Styela clava: one gene and its partner. The protein of the gene in region 1 purifies or fractionates together with the protein of each later gene. This does not show direct contact. Links are inferred from orthologs where the notes say so. Each region holds a gene or a part of one and is shown in the gene's direction. Other genes may lie near its edges.

Evidence for each region. The genes of interacting proteins can lie anywhere in the genome.
Region 2: the proteins of high affinity cationic amino acid transporter 1-like (region 1) and heparan sulfate 2-O-sulfotransferase 1-like purify together in Homo sapiens (co-immunoprecipitation; 3 studies listed by BioGRID and IntAct, counting the BioPlex papers as one, with this or other methods). This does not show direct contact. The link is inferred for Styela clava from reciprocal best matches to the Homo sapiens genes SLC7A1 and HS2ST1.

What each region holds. Positions count from the first base shown.
Region 1 is NC_135250.1:26,195,482-26,205,924, reverse strand, and holds the start of high affinity cationic amino acid transporter 1-like, read left to right. Parts: upstream 1-5,007; 5' UTR 5,008-5,139; coding exon 5,140-5,275; intron 5,276-5,627; coding exon 5,628-5,729; intron 5,730-9,489; coding exon 9,490-9,618; intron 9,619-10,443. UniProt on the Homo sapiens protein: High-affinity, low capacity permease involved in the transport of the cationic amino acids (arginine, lysine and ornithine) in non-hepatic tissues.
Region 2 is NC_135251.1:7,464,233-7,475,748, forward strand, and holds the start of heparan sulfate 2-O-sulfotransferase 1-like, read left to right. Parts: upstream 1-6,178; 5' UTR 6,179-6,476; coding exon 6,477-7,541; 3' UTR 7,542-11,516. UniProt on the Homo sapiens protein: Catalyzes the transfer of a sulfo group from 3'-phospho-5'-adenylyl sulfate (PAPS) to the 2-OH position of iduronic acid (IdoA) or glucuronic acid (GlcA) within the heparan sulfate (HS) chain and participates in HS biosynthesis.

The sequences.
Region 1 (10,443 bases):
AAAGGGAGAACATTCATGTACGAGTGTCCGTGTATTCAGTTATTGAATATATATTAATAATCGCTTTCAAAACATTTTCCATGGTTGGGCGTTCAAAAAGACTTTTGAGATATTCAATTAAGCATATGATACTTACTAAGCATGATCAATGTTGGTTCCGCTGTGTATCTTCCGCAGCACTCACCAGGACTGCTGACTTTAGGACAGTGGGGGAGGGGGATGGGGCGCGAAACAAAGGGGGCGTAGGCAATTTTTGAGGGGGCGTGAAGCAAATCGATTAAAAATAAAAATATTTGTTAGATTTGATCTCGCCCGCTTTATTTTGGATATTTAAATTTCTTTATTTTGGATATTGGGCGCGAGACTTGACAAAATTTAAAAAAGAAGGCGCTGCTTAAAAAGTTTGAAAGCCACTGCTTAGGCCAACTCACACATCATGTCCGTGAGCCTCGCGTTAATCTAAGATGAAAATTTTTAAATTCAACCATTATGAATTCTAATCCTGTATAGGTCAGCGTGTTTATGCTTTGGTATTGAGATTCGTGTTGTAAAGTGATTTTATTATATTGCCTTTGTACTTAAAAGTAAAAAAATGTAAAATTTTCATCTCTAATCTGCGCCCCGCGCAATCCGTTTTACACAGACGCTCGCGATAGTCAAGGCCGGCCCTGCCAGTCATCATTATGGAAACTTGGAAAGTATAGATTTTCACAAAGTTGAGAAGATTCGCGGCGCCTATGGTTTACTCCAGGTATTATTATCACTAGTCTTCGCGCGCGATGTGCCGTTATTACATTGGCGTGTGAGCATCAATTGACGGTCTTGCAGGAGTTGGCTGTTCCCGATCTGTTCCAGTTTGTTTATTGTGTCACTGACTCTTGCTTCCTGATCGATAAATGAGTGCTATAGTTTATGATATATACAGCGTGACCTGAAAACAGATCCAGGTCAATTGGAATAGATTTTAGAATCTGGAGAGAACTTGTGTTCAAAGCGCCCTAGATTACAGTACTTGAACTTTTAAGTACAATCACACACAATCAGACGTCCGAATGCAAGTAAATTTTTTAATTTTCGTTTATTCAAGTAATTATGAAATTTTTGAGTTTTAATCTTAAAACAAGACGGTATGGTATGGTAGTCTTTATTCATACTATAGTCGATTATCAGACGTAACATTTGTATTATTTTCGAGTGAAGTATTTCGTTTTCAACGAGTTTCCAATTACGAGGTCAGTTTTTTATGACCAGTGTTACGGCAAATACCCGTAATATTGTCCCAGAATTGAGCTTTAAGCAATACGGCTACGATTTGAGTTGTGTCTGTACGTCTTTTTATTAATGGAGAATAAATTTGGTACCACGTGGCATTTGTGGGCGTGTGGAGGGCGTTTCCATAATCCCGATCGTATTACTTTATACCTCAGTTACACCTCGGGCATTTTAATATAACACATCGCCGGGAAATTTTCGGTGGCTTTATGGATTAACAATAGAGCCAAAATCTGGTGATTGCCTTCTGTAGACACTCTTTCAGCCTTTTTCATATGGATTAATAAATGGTATTAACCTAATGACCCCTGGTGTTCCTGGGTCATTTTGACACCCCTCTATAATTTTTTTAATATTTCACCAACCAAAAATGCCAAAGACATCATTAATGTGTCCCTAAAAAGCTTATTTTCGTCGCTTTCCACTAAAACGCGCCCACATTACGTAGCGTAAATGCGTCCGACCATATGCCAGTAAGAAGAGAGAAATTTCAAAAAATTTCGAGAAAAAGTTTCTCACTTTTAACGCTGTGGTCAACACGTGATTGATATGCGAGAGAAAGAGTTTTCCTTTGGACGAGTTTTACGCCACCTTCATAATAAAACAAAAGTGGGATTTGTAAGTGAAGTGATATTCGTTTTATCGAAGAGCAATTGATCGCGTGCTGTCTGGTATCTTTGTTTGTTTATTATGAGCCGGAGAACGTTGCTTGCGCGTTCAAAATACTTCGTTTTCAACTAACAACAAATATTTGGTTATTTTTAAGCTTTGAAATACTCATACAAATAAATTTGACCTTGTTGCAAAATAAAAATTATACATAAAAAAAATATGATGACGTCACCGTAATTGAGAACACTCGGATCAAGCATGGATAATTTAAACTCGAACATTTTGAGTTTTGAAATTGGTTTTGTTCACATGCAGACCCCTATGAAATACTGTTGACCCCCCAAAATAGATTTAATTTAGCCATAATCCCAAATTATGACACAGATCTGCCATTTATGACCGGGCCGAAACCCTAGGGTTAATAGTGTGGATGAATTCCTCATTTATCCCCGACGCATTAGCCACATTCGGCGTCAGTCTTAATTCGTCGTTCGTCAGCAGGGCTGGTTAAGCGGAAGCCGTGGCGTACAAAAATAAAATATACCCTTTTAAGATTATAAATTCATTTTTTTAATTTCATTTATAATATTAATATTGAAAAAGAAAAGTAGATTTGCGTATTTGAAAATGTAAAGATTGATTTTAAGGTATATATGAAACCCAAGGTCGTAACCAGGAATTTGCAAAGAGCGATTATGAAATTTCTAATTGTTAAGTTAGACGTAGCAGCTAAAGGGTTCATTTCCAAAAATAGGTGGGCTGCCAACCATCGCCAACTGAAACATCTTGCTTCGAGTCCCCCTTCCGTCAAACCTAATTTGGATGAGCGTGTAGAAAAGAGTATCTGAGACCATGAAAAGGAGATTCTCGTTTCTTTTGTATTTCCAGTAATCTTGAGAGGTCTGTGATACTGACATTCTAAAATTAGCGACATACACAGAGGCAAAATTCTTATGCCCAAATGTCGGCGTCTACGTCTATAATTTCAAGAATATATATAAATGTTATTCTTTGTTTGGAAACTTTTTAAAAATGCAATGCAATTTTAAGGTGTGAAACATAGTTTTTTTTGTACGAAACCCCCTCTAAAAAACAACAGTTTTTCTCAAGTCTCACGTTATCGGAATATTGGTGATACTGACATTCTAAAATATTGGTGACTTGACATTCTAAAATTTGCGACATACATAGAGTCAAAATTCACATGCCCAAATGTCTGCGTCTACAACTATAATTGTGAGAATATGTATGTTATTCTTTGTAGGCTGCCGTTGGGAACTCCATGTATCTTCTTAGCTTTACAACAATCGAACTCCCCCCAATTGTTTCCGGCGCGGAAACGCCTGAAAAATGATTTGTGATGACAAGTCGTGATGTTCGTTGAAGCCGGCTTGTCAAACTGCTGCGCTCCCGACAAAAATAGTCTGGTGTGAACCACGGCGAAGTTGGATTCATGACTGTTGTTTTTTATGGAAGTTCGTTCGGTTTGGATTAATTTGTTCGGTTATGATGTATTTTAGATTAGAAATGTAAATATGAGTCGAATTCATTTTTCATAGACGTAAAATATGTTATATAAAGTGAATTGTCGTTTTAAAGTATTCTTTCTTGTTCTTCATTTATGGTTAATTTTACGAAAATACGAAGTTTTTGATTGTTGCGTCCTAAAATAAATATTTGGAAAGCATTTACTCTAGATCTAGAATAATAACGCAGAAATGTATTATAGGAAATATAGCCTATGAAAGACAATTAATTGGTTTTCATATGTTTCAATTTATCATAGGTTCTGCCTTTCAAAAATCAAGTAATATAAGTTGGATTTGATTCAAGAGTCTTGCTGCACAACAACACAGTTGTGCCAATCCATTCTTGACACAGCATTCTTACTGTGTCCACTTGTGCAAAAGCATAAAGTGAGAAAAGGTGGATATAAATTGGATGTGTAGAATACAAATAATTACGGGGACTGGCAATCTGCAACCGGTTAGGCTATTATACAGGATGCCCATTAAGTCTCTCTACAGTTTCAATTTTGTTATGAAGCCATTCTCAATATATATATCTTAATGGTTTGTTGTATTTTAATCAGTAGTTATTCAAGTATTTTTACTTTATCTAATACATCTGTGAGGGCCAAAATAATATATGGTATCGATAAATTCCCTCTGCAATTTTAAAACATTTTAAGACTATATGGAAACCCTATATTACATATATAGGTAGTATGTGCACATCGACATTCTCTGTGCTTATTGAAGTTTAAAACAAAGGCTTGTGGTAATTGTTAAGCGAGGAAAGTTATTTCCTTGATCAAACCAATGAGCAAACAGAATCGAAAGTGTGTCGCAACCTGTCACCTTAAATTAAAAATTCAAATCAGATCAGTTCGCAAATCGTTTGAAGAGTTGGGATTCAGCATTTCCCAATCACGTGGAAGATTTTGCAATCTAGTAGTGAATAATACTTCACCAATGAGTAAAGTTATCGAAGTTGCAAATCGTATATGTGCCGCGTTCGTGAAACACCATTAATAAAAGTACCAAGTATGTACCTTATTTGGGCAGCTAAGGGCCTGTTATACCAGTCCGACAATTTCACTGCGGTAAGCATATTTCGCAATGTGTGTATTTCGTATTTATTGGAGGACAAACAACCTGAGTACACATACAGTTAAGTGCCTTTGTTTAATATCATGAAAAGTTCGTAGCGTGAGACAAAAAGCAGCAGATAAGGCGAAAAGGTGGTGGCCTCGTGTATCCGCTAACAGTATTGAGGTTTATAAGGTCTAAAATTACCATTCGAAGCATATGGGCAGTTTTCACCGTTATGTAATAAAATTTTGACAATATGATAATATTTTTGCACATTGATATTCAGATTTACAAATCTTTTTAATGTTCAAGAGTACGTCTGACGGGTTTTGTGAAATTTGCAAACGAGCGAGAGTAAAGAAAAACTAGCGATAGAAAACGCGCAGTACCGTACACGTGTATTTGAGTAACCTGATTTAGTAATTATTTTCTCATTTCAAATTTACGTTCTTTCATCTGTGACATCATAATAATATAAGGCTTTGGTGTTGTTCGTAGCATTTATTCATCTCTTTCAGTAATTAGTAATGTTAGAGTAACAAGTTTTTATTTGTTCATTATTTATTTTTTGTATTTTATTTATTATGGACGTAGAAATAGGAAAGCCAGAAGCGCTAGGGATTATATTAATATTTGAATATAACTAATAACTGAAATCAAAATGGAAGTGTGTTCTAATTTTGCTCGTGCTATTACCCGCAAGAAGCATATTGATGAAGGAACAATGAATGAGTCGAAGCTGAGAAGGATTCTAAATACTTTTGATATAACTGCTCTTGGTGTTGGATCGACTCTGGGTGAGTTTTTTTTTACGAGTTTGTGTGAAAAATTGATCATTTTTATTAAAGTTTTTTTTATAATTTATTAAGTTTATTATAATTTTAAAATTATAATCTGTTCCTATCAATCGATTTTCTCTGTGATCAATTCTTATATTTGATGATTCCCGGGCGTTTTATTTTTTGCGCCATAGTAATCCACTCATAAATGAACCGAAAAAATAAAATCTCCCTTATTGTGTTAAAGTTAATATTTCGAAATAAACATTTTACAAATGCGTGATCTTAAAAATTAACCTTTAATTAAAAAATGCCCCAAAGGGTTGTAAGAGATGCAGCGTTATTCCTATCTTAACGTTTGTCGTTGCAGGTGCGGGAGTCTACGTACTGACAGGGGCCGTTGCAAAGAATACCAGTGGACCAAGCGTTGTTATTGCATTTCTCATCGCAGCATTGACTTCAGTACTATCTGGTAAGTTAAAAGTCCGGGCCGCGGTCTATATGGCAGTTTATTAGGTACTCCTGAAGTATGGGTACCAAGGTGGCGGACACCATATGTGTACCAAATTGGGGTTAGGCCCTAATTTTATTCCAATTTTCCTTATTTTCGTTCTATACTAGTTCGGGGACTAGCCAAGTGACTCCCGCAGTATTTGTACCTAGAATTATCGTTCGTTCAAAAATCGTTCCAACATTTCGAGAAATGTAAAATTAAAAGTATAATTGATCAATCAAATACGCCGTATTTTAAAGATACTGAAATCAATTCTACTCAAATATACGATTGATATTCTTGCTGCGATAACGTAGAAAAACTAATATAATATTCATAGTTATTGGTGGCATTTTGAAATATTGATATGAAAGTCCTACAATTGTCGGCAAAGGCAGGGATGTGGAGTCAGGAGTCCAGTTTTAAACATTTTATTTTAAAACCGGAATCGGATTGATATTTTCGAACTTTTGGGTGTCCGGAATCAGAGTTACAGGTACAGTGGTAATCGAATCAATTTTACACAGAAACTAAAAAAATAACTTAACTGCCTATCAAAGACGGTTTGCATGTGTTTAGAACACATTTTTTTTCTGGTATTTCGATGCTGGTGTTGAGTCATGCGCCGGAGTCAAATTTTTAATCATCCCGGAGTTGGAGTCGACTGTTAATTTTTCCCCGACCATGCAGCCCAGAGCAACAACTTAATTTTTTCGTTTTAAGCCACGGGGGAATTAAATATCCTCTTCTCTCACATGCCCCGAAGAAACGTTTAGTTACTTATTGAGATTTTATCGCCAATATGAGGTCAGATATCGATCATAATATAAATTTTATCAGTCTGTCGTGCCTTATCTCAGTAAAGGAGATTATTAACGGATGTTCAATTTAGGGCAGTATTTTGTACCTGGCGGTCCTGTCGTTTACTCATATTAATGCTGATAGTGTATAGAACGAGAGCGACTTATCAAGCTAGCATGTTCATATCTGAATACAACGGACTTGCTCGATTAAAACAAAATCCATAAATTTCTTATTAATTCTACGAAAACGGAAGAACATTTTCTTTAACACTTAAACTTTTGGCGCTCCAGAAGTATGTGTACCAATACAGAGGTGGTAACTTATTTCGCCTACTTTACATCAAGTTGTGTGAAGGGACGGAAGCGTATGGGCAGGGGATATATTTACTTGGCTAACACAGACAGTCCCCGAACTCGTAATATAACTAAAATAAGGAAAATCGGAATCAAATTGTGGCCTAACCCTAACTTGGTACACAAATTCTATAAAGAATTATGGCCGTGAATATCCCGTTGGCAAAGACCGATTGACGCAACACTTGAAGAGGTAGTTAAGGTCATTACGACAAAGAAAACTTTATTATCCCCGTTTACGAGTACTCAATTTTTATATCGAGGGTATAAAAGTAAGATTATTTCGACATAAGAACCTCAATTCTCATGCACGACAATCTACCAATAAAAATATTTATCAGAGTGGAGACTCCGAGTGAGAACTGTTGATTCTGCCCGTCTTAAAGCAAAAATATTTTTCCGCGTGTAAATAATCTATAATTCTGCCAGGATTTTTGCAGTCCCCAATGTCGTCAACCTGGCGGTTTACGAACATTTGACATACAATTTTACAACCTTTCCATATTTAACGATAAAATAGATAAACTACAGAATCGCATAAAAATGGATGGTTTTTAGTGACCCTCAGGTCACTATAACTATCGCCAACGCTAATGGGCATTCTAGTAGCGCAATGCAAATGAATGAATAATTTATCACGGTGACACCAACGGATCCTGGAATATATGATTTCCTTAACCACAATCCCCGCAATAGTATACTAATGCATAATGTTCCGTATCAAATTTATTATAAACTAATTTAAACTGAAAAATTTACGTAAAACTAATTCAAGAATTTTATGCCAAGACAGTGCGATTGTTTTGAAATTTTCATTACAACCTTTTTTCTTGAATAAGTCGTTAGAATTTACTTAGAATCTTTTTATTGAGAGAATAAAAATATACATTTGAAGTCGCTGATTCATAACCCGCTTTGTTTTCCGGTGCCCATCCTCGTAAAACGGTGTGCATCCTCTATTCTCGTTATCTGTGTAAGATTGATTTTTGCTTGTTGGAGAAAAGAAGTAGAGTTAACTTGATGCAATTCGAGTGGTCGAATGGTAATCGCTGATAAATATGATTTATGCTTATGATTTACATATTTATCCCGGGGGAGAGGAAAGCCGATAAGACGGCTTATCCATATGGCGAACCACGGCCTCTCGTCCGGTTACCATTCCAAGCCGGTTATGGGATTAGTTTTTACTGTATTGTTTGTTTTCGGAAGCATGGACTTGGTGGTGGAGGAAGCCGTAACCGACCAGCGGTTACGTGAACCACCCAACGACGGCGAGGAGTCCAGCAATCCTCTCGCACATAACCATCCCTACATGGGATTCGAACCTGCGAACCCACGCAGAGTAATTAGAGGTGCGGTGGCGAGCGTATTCCTAACGCTTAGCCCGTTGAGCCACACCGCCGCGCAAATTACGTAACAGATGAAATATTTGTAAATTTGAACGTGAATTATATATTCTTGCAAGTGATACTCACTGGATAAGTATATTTAATGGTGGATTTGCAGTTATGCGTACAATATATTTAAATAAATTTAACTTGAAGCCAATTTACATCCAATTCTCAAAGCGACGAAGCACCCATGTGCGAAGTGTCATACAACCATTCATGTCTTGTTGTGCAGATGAGTGCATTTCATAGAATCTTTATTAGAACAATAGGGCGAGTCCTTAGCTGGTCATTCAAACAATGTTTGAAAGCAAATTGTCAATGATTAACAGCGACTATACTAAATCAATCAACGTCCGGTAGCGCCTAAAAGTAACAGAATGATTTTTAACCAAGGAGTAAGCAAAATTTGCGCAAATATTGTTTCAGTAAATAAAGAGTGCAAAGTTTGTTGGTCGAATTGGTAGCGAATCTAACAAATACTATAGGTTGCGTGCAATTATTGCCGATACACAACGTTTGCGAACCAACCGCGTATGACGTATTCATTCATCCAGGTCAAAATGCACGTTTTAATAGGGTGGTTTACTGGGTTTGTTACCGCGTTGTATTCAACTCTGGTTTGAAGCCCATGCCCGTCACTACCCGTGGTGTAATGACTTGGGTAGGCAATGCCGACGACACCCTGTATTCTCAGCCTATCATCCATGCAAGTTCTAACCTAACTCGGCGTTGCTTAATTCCTGAGACAAGATCATAAGAGATTTTGGTTTCACTCGTCATGCAATTTTGCATGAAAATTTGGAGCTCCACCAAGATGGCGCACATCCTGAACATAGTATGTGTACCAGGTTAGGGTTCAGGTTATGCGCCATCTCGGTACACATACCTCGGGAACGCCGAAAATGTAATATGAAATAGCTTGTAATAAATACATGGAATTATATTTACGGCGTTTTTGAACAATGCTCTGCGTTAGAAGCTATTGTAAGGGGATGGCGTAAATGGTTTTTTATCCCAATATTTTTAACATGCAATTCCAACATAGTCCAGTCCAACGCTTCAACCCCTAACGCCGGCCCATCGCGCAATATCTGAGTTCGTCAGAACGGGGTCACGGTATATCAAATATCACAACACAATAAAAATATTTATAATATTGGAACAATAGATTATTCTATTTCTATTTCACAGGTTTATGTTATGCCGAGTTTGGAGCACGCGTACCCAAAGCTGGATCAGGATACGTTTACAGCTATGTTACAGTCGGCGAATTATGTGCCTTCGTCATTGGGTGGAACCTCATTCTCTCTTACGTGATTGGTGAGTATTATTATTGCACCATCATAATAGCCAATCAAATGCGACTTTGGGTCGAACTTGGGCGTGACTTCTATCCAATGTTCGAACCTCATCTTCCGAATTTTCAGCTTTTGACTCGTGTATAGCGGATGGGATTTTGCGAAACACCTAGACCGTACGATAGTACCCCCTTGTCTCAGTTTAAGGGGCGTTAACGCCGATTGTCAACGGTTAATTTTGATTGGATGTTATGGCTTTGGATAAAAATAGGCCATTGTATGATATGTAAGGGTACTCGAAAGTCCTCTAAAGAGGCGACAATGCACAATTGAAAAATTCTATCTCCAATATGCCTCAAACGACAAATACACTAAAAATAAATTCAATTTGCTGATAGTTATTAGTTACAGTGACGGTTTTCCATTGTGTTATATTATTGTCGATTATTACATATGGGTCTCTCAATCAAGTAGAGTCAGTGGGTCGGTAGTTGAACAATACATTTAATTATATATTCATTGCTTAGTCTAGACTCTAGATTCTTTATTTCAATATTTGACACTCCTCAGTTTTCAACCAATCACGGCTCTGATGATATTTGTACGTACAGGAAGAAACATAATATTTTGCTCTGGAATAACACTGGTAACAATATAAATGGGTGTATTCGGGGTACATTCTTTTTGGTTCCTTGTTTCCGAGAATTGTAAATATATCATCACAATATATAAGGGGGGGGGTTCTAAGTTATTTGCATTGTTCTCTCGTTTCTAAGAAAATACAATATATATGTAACTGTTAATATTGCAACATAGAAGGGCGGTTTCGAGGTACATTTGCATTGTC
Region 2 (11,516 bases), on another chromosome or scaffold:
CTCAAGTATTTGGAGCCACGAATGCTTGTAATTTTCTGACTAAACCCTTTTATTAGTTGGTTTATATACCAAATTCAGTAAATTATTTTTTAAATAAAACATGAGATATTGGATTTATTAGCTTTTCCATTCTGAATCATATAGACTGCTTTATTTATTCTTAACGAAAATTAATAAATCTCCTCTCTTTCTTCAGATGTGAAAGTTGTGGACAAACCTGTCTAAGCATTGTGAGACTCTTGCAGCACAAGAGGCAATAGCAGAAATAGTAAGTATATCAATCAAAAAATTAAGCCGACATAAAGCAAAACTTTCAACTATTCGTCTAATCTCAATTTCCTATTATTTATTCACTGGACAACTATAGCAGACGGGGAGATATCAGAAGTCTGCCGACATATCAGTGACAGTGTGATTCCAAGAAATATAATGCAATAGAAAATAGAAATTTGCAATAGAAAAACAACCTATGGAGGCATGCAAAGACATTTGGCCCTCCGGTAGAGTTGTGTATGGCCCCCACATCCTGCAGGGCTTAAGGAAAATAACTAAAAATTCCAAAGCGTAAGATTGCATAAGCGGTCTTATTTGTAAAAAGGCACAAAACACGCCAGACATACTTAAAACAGCTTTGGAAATGAGGATTACGGGTACCTCACTGCACCTGTGTTATATTTGGTTCATCAACTTTTGGTAGTACTATAGAAGAAATTCCGGAAGGGGTATAATCATCATTCATGATAAAATACTATCATATATTTTTTGAACAACTTCAATCTAGACCAGGGATCTCAAACTCGCGGCCCCAGAGAACTTCCAGTGCGGCCCTCGAACGCTTAACAATAATTGTAATAGTATTTTGGAAGTTTTTTTTTTTATCTAAATGTAATAGATTTTTCAAACCTTCTAAAGTGAAATTGATTATTCACACAGAAAACAATTTACTGAAAGTAGTTTTGGAATATTAATTTTTTTGTCCACATTCTGACCCAATTAAGAATACACATCAAGCTAGCAAAAGAATACTTGAATAAAACACTTGAGTAATTAAATTAAACGCAAAGTACATGAAGAAGGTGGCATTTTCGAAGAAAATGGGAGTTGTAACATTTCTGCTCTTCACAAAATTCTGAAGCACATTGTTTAATTTGTCATATTTCCATCAATACAATCAAAAAACACAATAAGCTCAGCAGTCAATATGACAAATTCGAAGACCAACTTCGAACAGAAAATTTCCATGTGTTTGTATATTAATATAATTATACAACGACTTAGTTACTAAAAATCAATATCAATAATAATTCAAGCAATCCTATGCCACGCAATGTAGTGCGAAATGTCTTGTCGAAAAAATCTGTCATTTGTTTTTTTACTGATCTATACATGAAATGATAAACTTTTTTGCATTACTGGAATTAATTAAACATTCGTAAAGATCCAGATAAACCCATGATCATGTGGCCTCGTTAGTTAGAGTTGGTACTATAAAATCATTTCAGACTGGCCTTAGTATGCTGGTGACACAAAAAAGATGCCAAACGCCAGGACAAATGTAATTATTAAAACATTGAGTTTATACTGTAGTATTTTTGTTAATTTTAGGTTCATATATTTAGATTAAATTATTTTTAGTGTATGTATTATTCTTTCCTAATTCAAAGCTTGTTCAAAAATGATTTTGATGGTTGTACATAGAATTTTACGATTTTTTATAATAAATACTGTAACTTGCAAATGTTGCAATAATAGTGGAATGCAAATATTAATATGTAATTGCATTTGAAAATGAAGAAAATAATAAAACTTAATCCAACTGTTTAGTTGCATCACAATATATGTCACAAACTAAAACTATCTTAAAAATATCTTTTAAGTATACATTATCAAAAACTGTTTGCGGCTCTTTTTACAATTTTCAAAATGCAATGCGGCTCTCGAAAAACCATGAGTTTGACACCACTGATCTATTCTAGACGATTCAAGCATTGCTTTGGGAAATTATATCACTTCAATTAAATTGAAATAATCTCGCTATATTAAATACAAAATCGTTGCTATCACAAAGGTAAACCAATTCAGCCACTCGAAATATATTGGCCTTCACAAAGCAATGGAGGCAAAATTAGGAGTTCATGAGCTATGAACATTTGTTCTTTTCTTTGTCTTGAACTTTTCATACTCCACAGCCCCTATTAATTTTTTTTAATTTTAATTACCATGTGATGGTCATACATATCTTTAACTTGTATTTTCTGTCATGATGTATTATCTCAATGTGCCAAACTATTAATTAGTGTGCATATTTTGCTTCCAGATGACATAAATGTATTGTCATGTTTATTACCTCAGCTTGGAGTATTGACAAGAAAAAGGTGCCAGTAAATTAGGTAAAAAAATTTCCAATTCATTGTTATAATCAGAATTCACAATCAATAGGAATTATAAACAGCCAACAATCAGTGAGAATTATATGCGTAATCCCTCAGAATAAATTTGTCTAAAATCGGAGGAAGGCAAAAAATATAGGTAGTTTCCATCCACACAAGCATTTCAAGAAGACTTGCTCGAGCCAAACTAAATGAGCATCGTCAGGTAATCGGTAAGGCTGCAAGTTGAATTCAGCCCTGCAACCTCCTGCATAGAAGATAATATTAATTAGTGGGCTATGAGCTAAATTCCTAAATTTAAACAAACCTATCTACGATGCATTATGTACCAGCAATGTTACCTACGATTAACTGAATATGTAATATGTCTAATAAATTCACCTACAAAAGCAAGTTCGATAGGTGCAAACTTTGTGTTATGGAATTGTATCGCAGCACAGTTTTGTATGACACCCTCTTTAAATGAAATTTCAATGATTAAGCGCATTGAACATTAATTAACAACATTAAAATTACTAACTTTGAACTTTGTCATTATCTGCAAAATGTTCCACACAAATCTTTCCGCTATCGCGTTTGTAATCTTCTCTGATAAAAAAAACGTCTATGATGTCCAGAATTGCTCTTTACAGCTTGCCTGTTATTCCAGCTTTCCAAGTAAGCAAAACTTCTCAGATATAGAGATTATTTTGTTTCGTTACAGGCGCAAAAAGGCAGGTACTACACGTAAAAAAGACGCCGAGTAGCAAAAGCGAGCGGAAAACGGACGCGAAAGGCGACGAGAAATATGTGCATTGGAGCGTATCATGAAATACAATGTTTTGCCTGTAGTCTTATGGAGGGACGTCAGAGTTGCCTATCATGTTGTTTAATGTCATTGATTAAACTAACAATTTAACAAATGCACAAAACAATTTGTAAGTTTTATTCTGCGCGGGACCATGAATTTTTGCCCCGTGTTTTTTGTGCGTGGTCACGACGCCGGGTTTTACTTAAAAATCATCTTAAATGGGAGGAAATCAATTTACCGGCACGTCTGCTTATAACCGGATGTTATCTGGTGAAAACCGGTTGACACCGAGCTTGAACTGGTTCAATTCAATACGATCAGGAACTGTAAATTATATATAAAAATGATTATATACAACTGCTGATTGTATTAGGATACATGTGGATAAACTCAACTTCTGTCTGCCTGTGCACATATTGAATTAATGACACTTAGGTACGGTAGTGGTATGAATTCGTACCGTACGGTACCGGTATTGGTTTGGGTTTTTAATATACTGTTCATATACAGATATAGGTACCGGTACCGTGTATTGAGGGGAATGATATTTAAATTAAAAAATCGAAACATGGAAACAAAAACTTTGTATTTAAAATATAATAATTCGATTCTAAAATCTCAATACGAAAATTCCGTTTGGCATTGGAATTTATTTGGCACAAAAAAAACGGGTTGGACAGGATTGTTTTCGGAGAATACTGCAATACGGTACCAGGCAGGCCGTACCCGTACCGGTACCGGCTTCTTTATGTCCTTAATGTTTTTTGTCTTTACTGAGTTGTTTGAGGTGTTATGGAATTGGTTATTCTACGGGTACTCAATAGGCCGGTCTGGATTTCATGGCCTTTTTGAACGAGAAATCGGGCGTGCAATCAGAAATTCCCGCGTGCAAATAAGAATTCCTGGCGTGCAATTATAGCTCACGACGTGCAAAACAACTGCACTCGCGTGCAACTGACTTTGACATCAGATACCTTTCAATACATCCGCGTAAAATTACCGGTATCGGATAAAAAATACGTTGAATCAGAGAAAAAATGGACGTTTGACCTTTGACCCCAAACATTATTTCTACAGTTTGTCGCTAATTTTGAGAGTGTTTGTGCGACTTTGGATACCGGTACTGTTCAGTACATCCGCGTAAAATTATTGGATAAAAAATACGTTGAACCAGAGCAAAATGGACATACTTTGTCATTAATTTTGGTAGTGTTTTTACGTAGAATTAATGGATAAAAAATACGTCAAATTAGAGCAAAATGGACGTTTGACCTTTGACCCCAAACATTATTTTCATACTTTGTCACTAATTTTGGGAGTGTTTGAGCAACTTTAGATACCGGTACTGTTCAGTACATTCGTGTAAAATTATTGTATGAAAAATACGCTGAATCAGAGCCGTACTTGGCCATTGGTGCGGAGGCGATCTTTTCGTCCATAACTATTCTCACGGGATTCCTATTTCCTATCATTCAACACGATATGGACCTTTCCCCGAGCATCGACTTCCTTGTTTACTTCGTGACATTGGTCAATCAGCAAGATGCAAAAAAGGACGTAACAATGAGAGGAATTTTTCGCGGGTCAAAGGTTGGGGAAAGGTCCATGGTCTTTTTGCTTCGCAATATTTCGATCAGACCAAATCTTGCAAGCTGGTATTTGTCGACAATTGTGGAGGTATAATATTTTGGCATCTTTATATTACTGGATTATTGATTTTAAAACCATTTAAACCGATTTACATTGGTGAGCAATTGCAAATTTTCGGCGTGCAAAATTGATTTCGCTCGCGTGCATTTTTGCGGAGCGCTAGCGCCCTCGGGCGTGCACCTGCCATGGAATCCAGTCTGGTAATAGGTACATGAAGACATGTATTTTAATAGTGATAGTACCGTCTGACCGTGGTCTGGCGCAGTTTCTTATCCCCAAGATTATCTAGTGGAGTAGTGGGCGTAGCATAACAATTTTTGCAAATGTCAATCCTAACCCCACCTGACTGCATCATTCAAAAATTGGGTCTCGTGTAGTTACGTACCTAACGTACTTCTAGTAGGCGTAGCATAACAATTTTTTGACATGCCAATCCTAACCCCCACCTGACTACGCCATCCAAAAATTATGTCACTACGACGTCACAGTGACATAATGTAGCCCTTCAAACTATACGACCTGTCATCCAAGACGCGCAGACGAGCACCCGAAATCGAACAGCTATTTCTCTCGTTTTCTCGTCGCAACGATCCCAATAGGAGAAAGATTGCTAGCGTTAGCAAGTTCGTTATCGTCGGCGCCGATGCCATTTCGGGCGATTGTACTTATATTTGGCAAGCTCTATGACGTGATTGTGATGTCCTAATGACGTAATTTTAGAATGACGTAGTCGGGTGGGGGTTAGGATTGACACGTCAAAAAACTGTCATGCTACGCCCACTAGAAGTACGTTAGATACGAAACTACACGAGACCCAAAGTACGTTAGGTACGAAACTACACGAGACCCAAAGTACGTTAGGTACGAAACTACACGAGACCCAAAGTACGTTAGGTACGAAACTACACGAGACCCAAAGTACGTTAGGTACGAAACTACACGAGGTCGAGACCCAAAGTACGTTAGGTACGAAACTACACGAGACCCAAAGTACGTTAGGTACGAAACTACACGAGACCCAAAGTACGTTAGGTACGAAACTACACGAGACCCGGAATAACAAGCTGAGCCTACTGAAAGTACTTTTAGTAATAAACTATACCTGACCCAAAATTCCTCCCAGGCTGTAGTAGGGAATACAGTAATTCCACTCTATTTTGGAAATGCTGAACGAGAGACAAATAGAGTGTCTGTTTCATTGAACCAATTTTTGGAACGTCTCGGAATTGAGAGACTGTGACCGTCTGCATATTGCATTAGCCAAAATATGAAAGCACATTTTGTTTATGAGTTCTCTGCCCAATTTGAAAATTTTTTTTTTCATTATTTGTTAATTTTATGCGGCTGCATGCTAATATTCACGTTTTAAAATCCAGTCGAGGTGTTCGATAAATGATCAAGAAAGCTCAATTTCATGTGTTGTTTGTGCCTATTATTACTCTGATGACTGATTAGAAGTTTCGAAATTAGTAATTGTATCATTTATTAACAGTTGGGGTTACATGATGGGTTACATGAAACTAACTACCTTACCTTGCTCTATGCCTTTGCGCAGGTGGATCCGAATGCGTATAATGCAAGGATTGTAACACAAGTCATTGCATACTATATCTTTTTCTTCTTTGTAAGTTGCCTAATATTCGGTGATGCGTAGGACAATTAACATGACTTCGCGAAGAATGTGGATACCTCTTGCTTTACTGATCATACTTGGATTTGCTATATTGGAATTACAACTCTTAAAAGTAAAAAGCAATGGGATTTATTCTTCAAAAACCGTTGTACGAGATTTCGCAAAAACTAGTGAAGAGGAAAAACACACATTTATGGACGATAGCTCGACTGTTGTGTTATACAATCGAGTTCCGAAAACTGGAAGCACGACTTTTACGAATTTTGTTTATGACTCTTGTAAAAGGAATGGGATTTATGTTCTGCATATAAACACTACTAAAAACAGTCATATAATGTCCGTACAGGACCAATATAAACTTATTCAAAATATAACGGATTGGAGGGAGTACAGGCCAGTGTTTTTTCATGGGCATATGGCCTATCTTGATTTTAAACGATTTGGCAGTCCGGTGACACCCATTTATATCAACATAATTAGGGACCCTTTGGATAGACTTGTATCGTATTATTACTTTTTACGGTATGGTGACGATTACCGTAAAGGACTTAAAAGAGCAAGACAGGGTGATGATACTACTTTTGACGAGTGTGTGAAAAAGGGACGCCGAAATAGCGATTGTTCAGTTGAAAAATTATGGCTTCAAATCCCGTTTTTTTGCGGGCAGTCTGCGGATTGTTGGGATGTTGGAAATGAATGGGCATTACAAGAAGCTAAAAGGAATCTAGCGAATAATTATTTGCTTGTCGGCTTAACTGAAAACATGGAAGATTTCGTCGTAGTATTGGAAGCAGTTCTGCCTCGAATGTTCAGGGGGATGACAAACAATTTTAGAGAGGGGTCCCAATCCCATATCAGGAACACATTACATAAAGTACCCCCTAACGAGGAAACTTTGAACAAATTTCACAGTTCTAAAATTTGGAAAATGGAAATGGAATTGTATAACTTTGCTAAGAATCACTTTGAATTCATTAAAAAACAGTCAACCGTTTTAAGCAAAAATGTACTGAAACCTGCCCCAAAGAGATTCCGATATGAGAAAATATACGGACCGGAGGGTATGATATCGAACTAAAACCAAATTTAAAGGCTTTCTCCCTTAAGGTAGAAACTTGAAAAATTTTGGAACATCAGAAAAATAATTTTTGAGTTTTATAACTCCTGTAGCATTTTATTGAAATACTTTGGTGAACATTGCTTCAAACCAGCTCGAAGAGCACCTATTTTTTTGTAATATTTTCAAATGAAACTTTTTTTAGAAATTTAAATGTTCGCCTTTTTGTCTTGAAAACTTAGAAGTATTATCAGAATAAGAATGCGACTCTCATCAAATGAATAGAACAATGGTTTCAAAATATTTATGAGCTATTTTAAAGACTCTAAACTACACCCTAGTCCAAGGTTGTGGGCTCCGCGGGCCACAAAATTATTTTTGCATTGGTCGCGGGCCACAATAGTACCAAGAATAGGTAAACAGTGTAGTACAAAACAAGCACTTCTATTGTGTAAACACATAGTTATCAGGCATTACCAACCTAGGCTAATGGAATCCGCATTCGATGTTTAGTTTTCTATCATGCCTATATTGTTAGCATATATTCCCGACCAAAACGATAGAAATCCATGTAATAATTTAGATTGCCCATCACATCTTAAACTTCGCTAGTTGCTTCAGCTAGCCATCATACTAGTCAATTCAGTCACAGTAGTGATAAAACAACAATATGCCAAACGATTTTTCTGATTTATTTTACGAAAAGCAATTTAAAATACGATATTTTGATTACTCTCCGAATGCGACGCAAGCCACTGGGTTTAGACCACCCTGCTCTAAACCAAGAGTGTGCAACGTGTTTTGTCTGTTGGTTATATAATTTCAGACATCTAGATCGCCCAAACAAAATAAAATTTCCCCATGTAGCCCACGAATTAGTGACAACCAGAGCGTCGCGGGAAAAGACAATGCCCTAAAATATAACCAATTTAAATTATTGTAAATTATAATTTTGCTAATACGTATACACACATTACCGGTACTATTTTGTTTACTAAAGCTATGGTTCAATTTATTATTACTTATCAATCTTTAGATCGGTAAGTATGTTGATAGGTATTTGTCTGTTTGTCCGTCTGTTAAATGCATGTGATATCTCACGAAGGCGTGGTTGAATCTGCTCCAAATTTTGCATGTGCATTCATCATATTTCGGATCAGAAACCTATTGATTTTGGATGAATTATGTCGTATAATTAGCGAGTTATTAATTAATTAGTGATGGGACACGCGCTGCTCAACCTTTTTTCTTTCGTGGCCCACTTAATTGTATAACAATTCTGTGGCTAACTAACTTTCTCATGCAAGGAAAAAACTACAAGAAAACAAGACTCTTTTCGTAAAAATAATTACTTTCATTTCAATAATTAGAATGAAAAGCAGCAACATCATTCATTGCTACTAGAATAAAAATTTGACTATAATGACACAAATGAAACTCTTCAATAACCATAGTAATTTCTATTAGGCTTGTGGCCCATTTGAAAATGTCTCTGGTTGAGAACCAGTGTTATTCGTATAAGTAATCAGGATATTTATGGGTTCCGTTTTTATGTCAGCTAGTACTATTGATCAGTATAAAGAATTACCCTGCATGTTTTCTTTGATCACAATTCCTTATCAATATAATACATCATGGCAAGGTCTGCTATTCAATAAATAAATCAATAACTACTTAGCACTAGAAAGTGAAACCACTTTAAGTAACCACAAAAATGTGTGTTGCTAATTTAAATACATTTTAACACCATTTTTTTGTAGTTGTTTTATATGATTACGTTAGTTCCACTTCATACTTTCTATTTTTGTTACTTGGGTAGCTGAAGGAATTTTTAATTTAAATCAGCATGTTTCTTTTCACTATTGAATCTTTGACAAATGAAAATATTCTAATATTTCTTAAAATCATGCATTTACTTTATCAAATATATCGTATACCATCGCATATAAGCCAAGTTTAAAACTACAAAAAGTTACCAAATTAAGGGCTTATACGGGCTTAACTCAGATAACACTAAAGGGTTTGACAGTGATTAGGATTTGTAGGTTAGGCTTATATGCAAATTTTTATAAATCCACTTTTTTAGAGCTGGTTTAGGGAGTCTTCTTATGTGCGAGGATACACTGAGTCCGATTTTGATACATTTGAATATTCCGCCTGATTTAAACATCGCTAAATTGGAATTGGTATGGCGTACATGCAAAACGAGATAACAGGATATGATAACAGTTATGCTAGCATGTCATGCATGTCTCAATGATTCTCACTGATAGTTAAGTCGTATCTTCTATTCTTGAGTGCTTTTCAGCCAATATCGGCCATTTGATATCATTGAAAAACAAGTTTTTTCGCAAAACATTGCACTTCGTTGGCAGTACACATTTTGGTGCATCACTCTGATTTAGATGATGAGAATCGGATCTGTTCTGGACGGAAGTAGAGACTGCCAAATTCTAAAGCTTATCATCTTTTATATATGCTATGATATTATGTACTGGAAGATTGCTTGACCCCTCGACGTCGTAGGGTGGTTCACGTAACCGCTGGTCGGTTACCGCTTCCTCCGCCACCAAGTCCATGATTCCGAAAACAAATAACTGGCTAATCCCATACTCGACCAAAGCGTATATATAATATAAGCGAGGCAACGCTAAGACAATGGACGCCATTTTGTGCCTATTGTTCTCGGCAGTTTAACACGGCGCCTTATGAGAAGTTCCAACACAATTATTAAAACATACCTATTATTTTCACTAATATTTTAGGTAGAAAAATTTTGAAGGTCGCGTTTTGAAGTAGAATCTTAGCCGTACATGCTTATATCTTTTCATGTTGGCCAAATTACATTTATAGTACATTAAATTGTCTTTGAAGACAAGTATACCGGTTCCGAATTGCTTCCGAAGTAAATTGGCCATTCCAATCGTCATAATTAACTATTTGACAATGGCGTTTCTTATGACGTCACAGATGAAAAGTTGTATTTATTCGTCGAAATTACCGGCCGACCCAACTTTGCTTCAATGGCCGTTTTTATTTTCTGGTTAACATATTTTGTCTGACAAGCTCCATAATGCCCTACTGCTGAGCTCCAAGCTGCGCTAGAAGAACAAATGACATTGTAGGATTGTTGCGGTGACATTTTACAGCCTCAAATTGGCGTATCACTATAAAATCTTTGAAAAAATGACCAAAAATGGTTCTACGCTGTGTTTGTGGTCAAATTTAACGCATTAGATAGTTTTGTATTCCCAATTGCGTTATATATTTAGATAGCATATATCTTAAAGTTCAAAATCCACCCTTCGGTTTCATTCTAGCCCTTATAACAGCGGACTTATTCGATTCGGTACAACAACACGACGAAAATTTCCCATGAGACTCCATTGTTTCGCGTTTCCCAAATATGGAACAAGATGGCGTCCATGAACTTGTTTAACATTAGGCAAGTTGGTTGCCGGCCGTTGTACTCGACATGGAATGGTAACCTGACGAGAGTCTGTGGTTTTCCATATGACCTATGTCCTCCGACAATCTGCGTAACTATTGACACCTCCCATAAAAAGTATATTCTTCGCCGTTCAAATAAGCGAAATACACCACGTAGGTGTTTATCGAATGGTTTTATTAGTCGCCTTGCGAGCGAGATATCTATACTCTCTTTCGGTGTAGACATTCTCGAAATAAATTTCGAGAAATTGCTTCAAATTGTAACGACTGTAGTAAAGAAAGTACGGTAGTTATACAGACAAATTGTCTATTTCAGTGTGTTGTGTATAACCTCCTCTTTCAAATAAGCCATGAATGACAACTTAGATATATATCAGACCCGAGATATCGATCCAAAATTATCACGCAGTAGTAAAAACACAGCCAGGTATTTACTCTTATTTGGGACGTCATATACAGTCTTCTGTTCATGCTAAACACTATTGAGATATGATTTGAATATATTTATTCAGTCTAACGAGCCATGAGTGACATTTTGAATCGAAA